2 linked regions of the Alligator mississippiensis genome follow. The protein of the gene in region 1 interacts with the protein of each later gene in a biochemical or structural test. Links are inferred from orthologs where the notes say so. Each region holds a gene or a part of one and is shown on either strand. Other genes may lie near its edges.

What was found. The genes of interacting proteins can lie anywhere in the genome.
Region 2: the proteins of DMD (region 1) and DTNA form a complex in vitro, tested with the Homo sapiens proteins (3 studies listed by BioGRID and IntAct, with this or other methods). The link is inferred for Alligator mississippiensis from reciprocal best matches to the Homo sapiens genes DMD and DTNA.

The regions. Positions count from the first base shown.
Region 1 is NC_081824.1:308,597,993-308,601,743, forward strand, and holds the start of DMD (dystrophin), read left to right. Parts: upstream 1-1,199; 5' UTR 1,200-1,257; coding exon 1,258-1,276; intron 1,277-2,342; exon of another isoform or gene 2,343-2,636; intron 2,637-3,751. UniProt on the Homo sapiens protein: Anchors the extracellular matrix to the cytoskeleton via F-actin. Ligand for dystroglycan.
Region 2 is NC_081826.1:79,295,671-79,299,421, reverse strand, and holds the start of DTNA (dystrobrevin alpha), read left to right. Parts: upstream 1-994; 5' UTR 995-1,001; coding exon 1,002-1,083; intron 1,084-1,182; exon of another isoform or gene 1,183-1,186; coding exon 1,187-1,268; intron 1,269-3,751. UniProt on the Homo sapiens protein: May be involved in the formation and stability of synapses as well as being involved in the clustering of nicotinic acetylcholine receptors.

The DNA of each region.
Region 1 (3,751 bases):
GAGATACAATGAGGGTGGTAAAGCACTGCAAAAGTTTATCTGGAGAGGTTATGGAATACCTATCACTGGAAGTTTTAGGTTAGACAAACATTTGTCTGTGATAATTCATACAGGGGCTAGACTAGATTATTCCATGAGGTCTCTTTCAGCCCTATTTTTGTCTGAATCTATAACTGTACAACAGTAATTCTGAGAAGGAGGGGAAGGGAGCCGCTGCCAGTTTTCCCTCCTTATCTAGCCTGGGCTGTCTGTGTAATGACAATCTTCAAATGTGGAGGAGCAGAACAGAGGTAGGGCCTATGTGTGATAAGGAAAAAAAAGTGAACAGCTGTGGGGATAAGAAGCAATGCAGATCTTGTGTTGCGTATTTCATTGTTAGCCTGGGGATGCGATGGGGCCAATTATCGGACATGGAATTTCAGCAGAGACTTTAAACTCTCTACACAATCGGACAGCTCTTTATACACATCTCAGTAATTTGATCTCAGTTGGATCTATCAGGCAGAGTTCCTGCAGTGGAGGCCAGAATTGCATCACTCTAATTTTTAAGTTAGCAGCACTGAAAATGTTCTGTGAACTGGGGGTGACCAGTAGAAGATCACAGATGAGAAGACAGATCAAAAATCATGATATAATCATCTTTGAAAAATTTGGGCATTTGGGGCCAAAAGCAGGATAGATAGAGGTGTGACTCATATTTTTTTTTAACCTTTGAATGAGAGTAATACTGTTTTCCTACTCTAGTTGTTTCTTTTAAAAATTAAATCACTTTTGCTCAAAAAGAAAATGGAGAATGATTCTAAAAATAGCGTGTACAAAATTGCCATCTGGATTTACTCTACAATATGTAAGAGGCGATTCCAGCCCTTCATTTATACAAAATCCAAGTGAACGTGTATATTCTTTCCACTTTCTACATTTATTTATTCATTCTTTCATTTTCTCTTCCAGCATCTGCTTACTCTCTATTTATTTTCTATGTATATTAAAAATGAGGAGCCATTTAGATACTCCTTTATTAAATGCACTAGATCCTTAATTAGCAAAATTAAAATATTGCAAAAATGTGGATCCATCTCTTTTGGAAATTGTATGCTTTTAATGCTTTCAGAATAACTTTGGTGTTTTTAAAACACTTCCTCATTGTTACCAAGTTGCTAGCCCTTTAAAAATTATCCCACAGGCCCTATCACCTGTACCTGGTTTCCTTCCAGCTCATGTAGAAACAGGTTACACTAAAGCTTACTGCAAACAGAGATGCCACCTAATAGAAAAGGTAAGTTTTAAATGAACATGGGGAGAACTCAGAGTGAGTTAAAGTAAGATAAAGATAGTCTGGGTGATCTTAAGGGGTGTAATGTAATGGAAGTTAGAAGTTGCAAGTTAGTTCTAGAAAGAAGAAAGTTTGCCTTCACCTTCTTTTGTGGTCTGTGGAGGCCTAACAGATGCTAAAGCTGATTAGAAATATTTTTTTCAATGAAGAATTTTTATGATACTGGAGGAAAAAAGTTTAAACAAAATAACGTATTATAAAAACTGAAATATTTTAATCAATCATCAAAATATATTAAGTGAAATATTTTAATCATCAAAATATAACCAAAGAATGACTATATTTTGATGTAGAAATGTAGTCTCATGCAGTTTGTTTGCATTCCCCTGTATTGGTGGAGATTTCTATTTCTATTTTGTCTATCACATTTGCTGTCAATAATACCTTTACAATGCTTTGGTTTTTAATTTGCCCTCAAGTGCATGTATAAGTGTAACTGAATAATTTGGATTGTGGGATTTTTAATTTTTGTTGTGAAAAATTAGAAGAGGGAAAATGGTACTTGGGTTATCATTTACCATTTTATAATTCTGAAGTTGGGGGTTAGAAGAAAAGTCTTCCTACCTTATTATTAAAAGTCTTAATTATGCTTATGCCTATGGGTGAATCAAGAATATTCCCAACCATGCCAGGTGGTATGCAAATGCATAGTACCATCTACTGATAGGTCCTTCCCCAAACAGTTTGAAACCTAAAGGGACAAGACAAGAGGGTGGGGGTGAGGAGCAGAGTATTGAGACCAAAAATATTGGGCTTATTACATAATGGAGGAAAAGCTTGTTTGGAAAGGAATCAGAAGAAGGGAGATGGGATCAGTGGCAGACCTAAACAGAGGCTTCATCCCCTAGGATATTTCTGTGGCATCAGCAGCCAGGTGAACAAATAGCAATTTACTTTACTGAGAATCAGGGTAAATTAGCCCAGGTGGATCTCCATGCAACCACACCTGATCTACTTCCAGTACCTCAGCTAATCTGGATATACCTACACTACTCAACAGTTTGCAGTATAAGACATAGCAGGAGTGATACTGAAGGATATCGAAGGGCACTTATGCTGTGTCTACATCTTTTCCACAAGGAGACTGGAAATAGTCTCAGAAAATAAGGCAATGTGGCTAGCTGCCTTCGACTGCACACCCAGAGCTGATTTTAGGGTCTCTGTCACAGTTTTGCTTACTGATGCAAACTTGAGCACTCTAATGTGTCTATGTAACATCATTTCTGAGATGAGACATGCCTGGGAGGAACTGAGTGGGTGAGTTGTGCTTCACACCAGTGCTCCTGGTGCAACAGAAGGCACAGTAAGTAAGCCCTTGGAGGTGCATGTTCAGTCACTGTGTAGCATGGGATTGTGCTTCAAAATCCATTTAGTTAATCTAAATCAGGAGCAAATAAATGTTCTGTGTACTCCAGGAGCTCTGGACACACAGCAAAGTTGCAATTACACTAAAACAAATAAATACCCAAATGGAGTACTTGTTTAAAACAATAGGAAGTAAAGGTCAGGATTTTACAATTTTGGATTTTGAGCTGTTGCAGTAAGTCATTGGAAGAAGGATTTTGAAAACTTCATTGTTAAATTATTCTAGGTTACAGAAAGTAGGTCTTGGCTGGTTCCAAAAGCTGCAGCAGGATCTATATGGATCCTACCAGTCCTTGCTGATCTCTTGCCCCACACTCTCAAATTATATAATTTTTTCAGTGATTCCAGTTACTTCTACAGAACCCAAGACAATAGAAGCATTAAGGAAGGAAAAATCCAGATGCCTTGTTGTTGCTGTTGTTGTTGTGGACCCCCAGATTATAGTGCCCAAGTGAAGAGCGAGTTTAGTTGGTTCTAGTTCATAGGAATGCTCCAGGTTCTTATGCAGCAGATGAGGGTTGCAAAGTCGTTCCATTATTTGTCCCTGTTTTTAAGGGCATAAATATATAATAACCTGCTTCACAGAAATTTAGCCCTGGAAGGGAGATCATTGGGTCCAGCCCCCTTACTCTGGGCAGGAAAGACTGCTGGATGGTGCCTAGATGCAGCTGGATTTGGGGAATTCTGGACTCAAATCAAAATTATACACCCTTAGACACACACACCCACTCACATCCCACCCACCCACATACTCTTTCTCTTTCTTAAATTAAACAGATGCACACACTTCTAAATTGGAGACACCACACCCTTACCCATACAGACTCTTAAATTACACACACACACTCGCTCTTAGATTGCACAACCCCTACCCACATGTGCACACACTTTTTCTTAAATTGTACACATGCTCTCTTAAATTGCACACCCCCACATGGACTTTCTTAAATTACACACTCCTTAAGTTACACCCCCAGCTTACCATAACAGCCCCTGTTTATAACAACGCCTTACTGTTAACAGTTCCAACAGGAGGAACTGATTTTCCATTAT
Region 2 (3,751 bases), on another chromosome or scaffold:
TTTAGCAACCTACAGTGCTTTAAATAAATTATATATGCTGGTCAAATTTCTGAGCAGTGGAGAAGCCCCAGGAGGCTGCAGAGCACTCCCTGACTCCTAGCCCAGAAAGTGCAGGGAGGCTCAGACCTCCCCCGCAAACACTGCACTTCTATCCTGGTGAAGAGCACTGTAACTGTACAGTGCTGTGAAAAATGTTCTGAATTATAGTCCTGTAAAATGTCCATGGAGCACTTCTGTACACACCCTAAGGTGTGGGGACAATCCCGGGGTTAAGATGTTCTAGGAGCAGCCCAAAATTACTGTACGGCAAGCCCTTATTCACGTTTTTGGTCCCCCCAGGGCTTTGGCTGCCACGGCCAGGGGGCCGGGGTGACCTGCCCAGCACCGCCACCCGGCATTTTGCGGGAAGGAATCCGCCAGACGCTTCTGCAGCAGAGGAATCGTCCCCCTTTGTGCTGGGCACGAGGGGATGACAGGAGCCTGAAGTAAGGGAGGAGGCAGAGCAGAGATGCATCTTCATAGCCTGAATGAGGGGGAGAGAGGGAGAGCGGGGGAAGCCCAGCTCCCTCCCTCAGATGCTGGCAAAGGAGGGCACAAAGTGCCAAGTGTGGGGCGCGACTGGCACACCGGGAGGGCGAGGAGGAAGCCAAAAGCCCCCTCTCCATCAGAGAGGAGGGTTTCCTCCGCCCGCAGCAACCTCTGCCAAACAAAACATGACATCATCCTGCACAGGGCTCCTGCAGCCCCCGCCCGGCACCTCCACCCCCAATACGTCACCCCCTCGCGCTGCGCCCCCCGCCCGCCCGGCGCCAAGCTCCGAGGGAGGCGGGGGGAAGAGAACCTCACGGAAGCTCCGGGCAAAGGGCGGAGTAAGGGCAGCGGCTTCATCTGAGCTTCACGTTCCCACTAGGCATGCGCGGAGCCTTCGCACATGCCCGCCAGGGGGTTGGCGCAGGCGCAGAAAAGAGATGAGGACTCGGTGAGGCAGGGCAGTTTCTGCTATGACACCTGCAGCATGTGCCAGGAGCTGCAGCAGCAGCAGCAGCAGCAGCAGGCGCGGTGCATCCTCCTCGCTCCAGTGTGGTAAGCGGTGGCGGCAGCAGCTCCCTCTCTCTGCGTCCCTGCTGCCTTGCACTGTATTTCAGCGGGTGCATGGTGACCTTACAGAGTGTGCATTACCTCACAGGTAAATATCAGCTGATCCGCTGTGACAGCAGGAGCAGGAGCAGGAGCAGGCAGCAGCAGCAACCCACAGAGCCTTTCTGGAGGTAGCAGTTCATTCATTCCTTCACTCATCTTGTCCCTCACCTCTACTTTCTCCCCCACCTCCCTTTATTCACTCCCCCCCCACCGCCCCCATGCAAAAGCCAAAGGGCTGCAGAGGATGCTGAAGCCTCCATTAAGGACTCTTCCCACCACTGCAAAGACTCTGAGGAGTATTTAGTACTGGGGGGGGGGGGGGGGATGAATATTCCTGAGCCAGAGGCGGCTGCTAGTGTTGCAATGCACTGCGGTTTCAGTGGAAATGGCTAAGGGGAAGGATGCGCTGAGGGGCGGGAAGGGAGGGAGCTTCAGCCTGTTGCCTACTTTTAAATCTAGCTAAATAGACACCGGTGCGGCTCCCCTGGGTACGGTGCTTGGTCGCTAGGCATGCGATTTTCCTGGCTGCGAATACCCAAGCTGGTCTTGGTCCTGCTATGGAGATGGAGGGAGAGATGCTGATGCTGGATTCTTTGGGAAAGAGGGAAACAAGGGTCATAACTCAATGCCTGCTGCTGAGTATCCCTGTGGCAAGAGCTCTCTTTCCTACAATGGCTGGTGACTATTGGGCATCAGGTATTTCATTAGGAAATACCACCAAGGTATGCATTCATGTGGAGAAAGGGAGTACACATATGTGTGTGTGTGTGTGTGTGTGTGTGTGTATGTGTATGGTGCGAGGAAGCTTAGGAAAACTGTCATAGGCCTAAGACATAATGTTTTTTGACTTCTGCTGTACTTCAGTTTTTCAGTAGTTGTTGTCTTTTTTTTTCCAGTAGTAAAAGTGCACATTGCCTACCACTGGCCTTTATACCTACTGGCTGTTCTGTTTATGACCCTGGTCATTGTACTGTATTTGTGTATGGGGGCACATACAATGGATTTTAGTGGAGGAATGAAAAGGGAAAAGAATCAAGCTCAGATGCGTAACAATCAAACACTTCAAAGAGCAGGTCCTGATTTCCCTTTCGCCCCTGAATTTAACAGTGTGCAGTCTCTTATTTCTTAACAAATATGTCAGGGAACACTGTTGTAGGTATCCTATGAAATATAGTTGTATAAGCTAATGCTTGATAAATAAATTATTGTAAAATATATGATCATATATAATCCTTGTATGTATAATTATTTACCTACTTGCTAACTTACTAACTTCAGTCATTTACAGTAAACATCCTAGTTACTACAGATTGACTAGTTCCTAACATTGTGGGATATCTTTTATGCCATGGAATAATTATTAAATGCTAAAATTAAATGGTGCTAGAGGTATTGTGGTCAGATGAACCTCATAAATATGCGTTGGGATCCATCTGTCAGCATTTACAATGTTTTCAGTACTGTTTAAAGCCCTAATGTGAATAAATGCCACTTAATAAATCCTGATAAATATCAGTGACCTAAGAGGTCTTCAAATGAGTTTTGTGAAGTAAAAAGTGCTGAAGCAATATTGTAAGCTTGTTATTTCTCATCTTTAAATCCTGTCGCAAGCTTGAAGTTATGTAACTTACTCTTCTTTTTTACCTTTATTTCTCACTTTATTGTTGTCAGTGTGGGAAATGATGTCATCATCATGGGGAAAAAAAGGCAGAGATTTTCACTTTTAATCCTATCTTTGCTGTGGAATCCAACAGCAGTTTCCCAGACTTTCAATTTAATGTCAGGATGTAGCACTTGTATCACCAGCAGTGGTGGGCATATGTACTAGCAGGTTTTTGTCATACTTGGAGCACCCAATACACTATTCATGAAAGAGTGGTATAGAGTGCTGTGTACTTGTACTTACTGTTGCTTTATTGACAGAGAATGTATGAGCGTGTGTTAAAAGCCACCTTCACAACTAGTTTGACTTTTCAGTACCCCTTAAAAGATAACAGCTCCACTGACAGTTCTTGGAGATTGCTCTTACTCCTACTGAAGTCAATGGCTAAATTCCCTGTTTAGGCAATATCAAATACATTGCCTTAAATGTATGAAATACGTTATAAGTGTGTGGGTGTGTGGTTGCCTGAGTATCTACTTTGTTTTTAAAATGTTTGATATATCAAGAGGTAGAATTTAATATTAAACAACTGAAGACCAAACCTAATCCCCTCCACTAAAATATCATGCATAAATTACAAATGTTGTGTCCTGAACACTTAAAGTGTTCACTTACAGTTTTAACCAGTGAACTTATAGTTCACTTATAGTTTTAACCAGAATATGTTGTTATAATTCTGCAATGGCAAGAGTAAATACAAAATTGTCCCCCAACCACAACTGAGCATATAAATAAAAAAATTAATATTGTGTATGTGGCTGCTTAGTTGTGTTCATGTGTAATAATTTCCATGAACAATTTCTGTGCATTATTGTTTGTATAAACCAATGGTAGCCTGCAGAAAACGATGCATCCTCAAACATACTGGCATCTCCTGTTACTTATTACTGTGTCAAGCCCTGATCCTGAATTTAGCTGATGAGTCGCTTACACCCACGTGGACTCCTG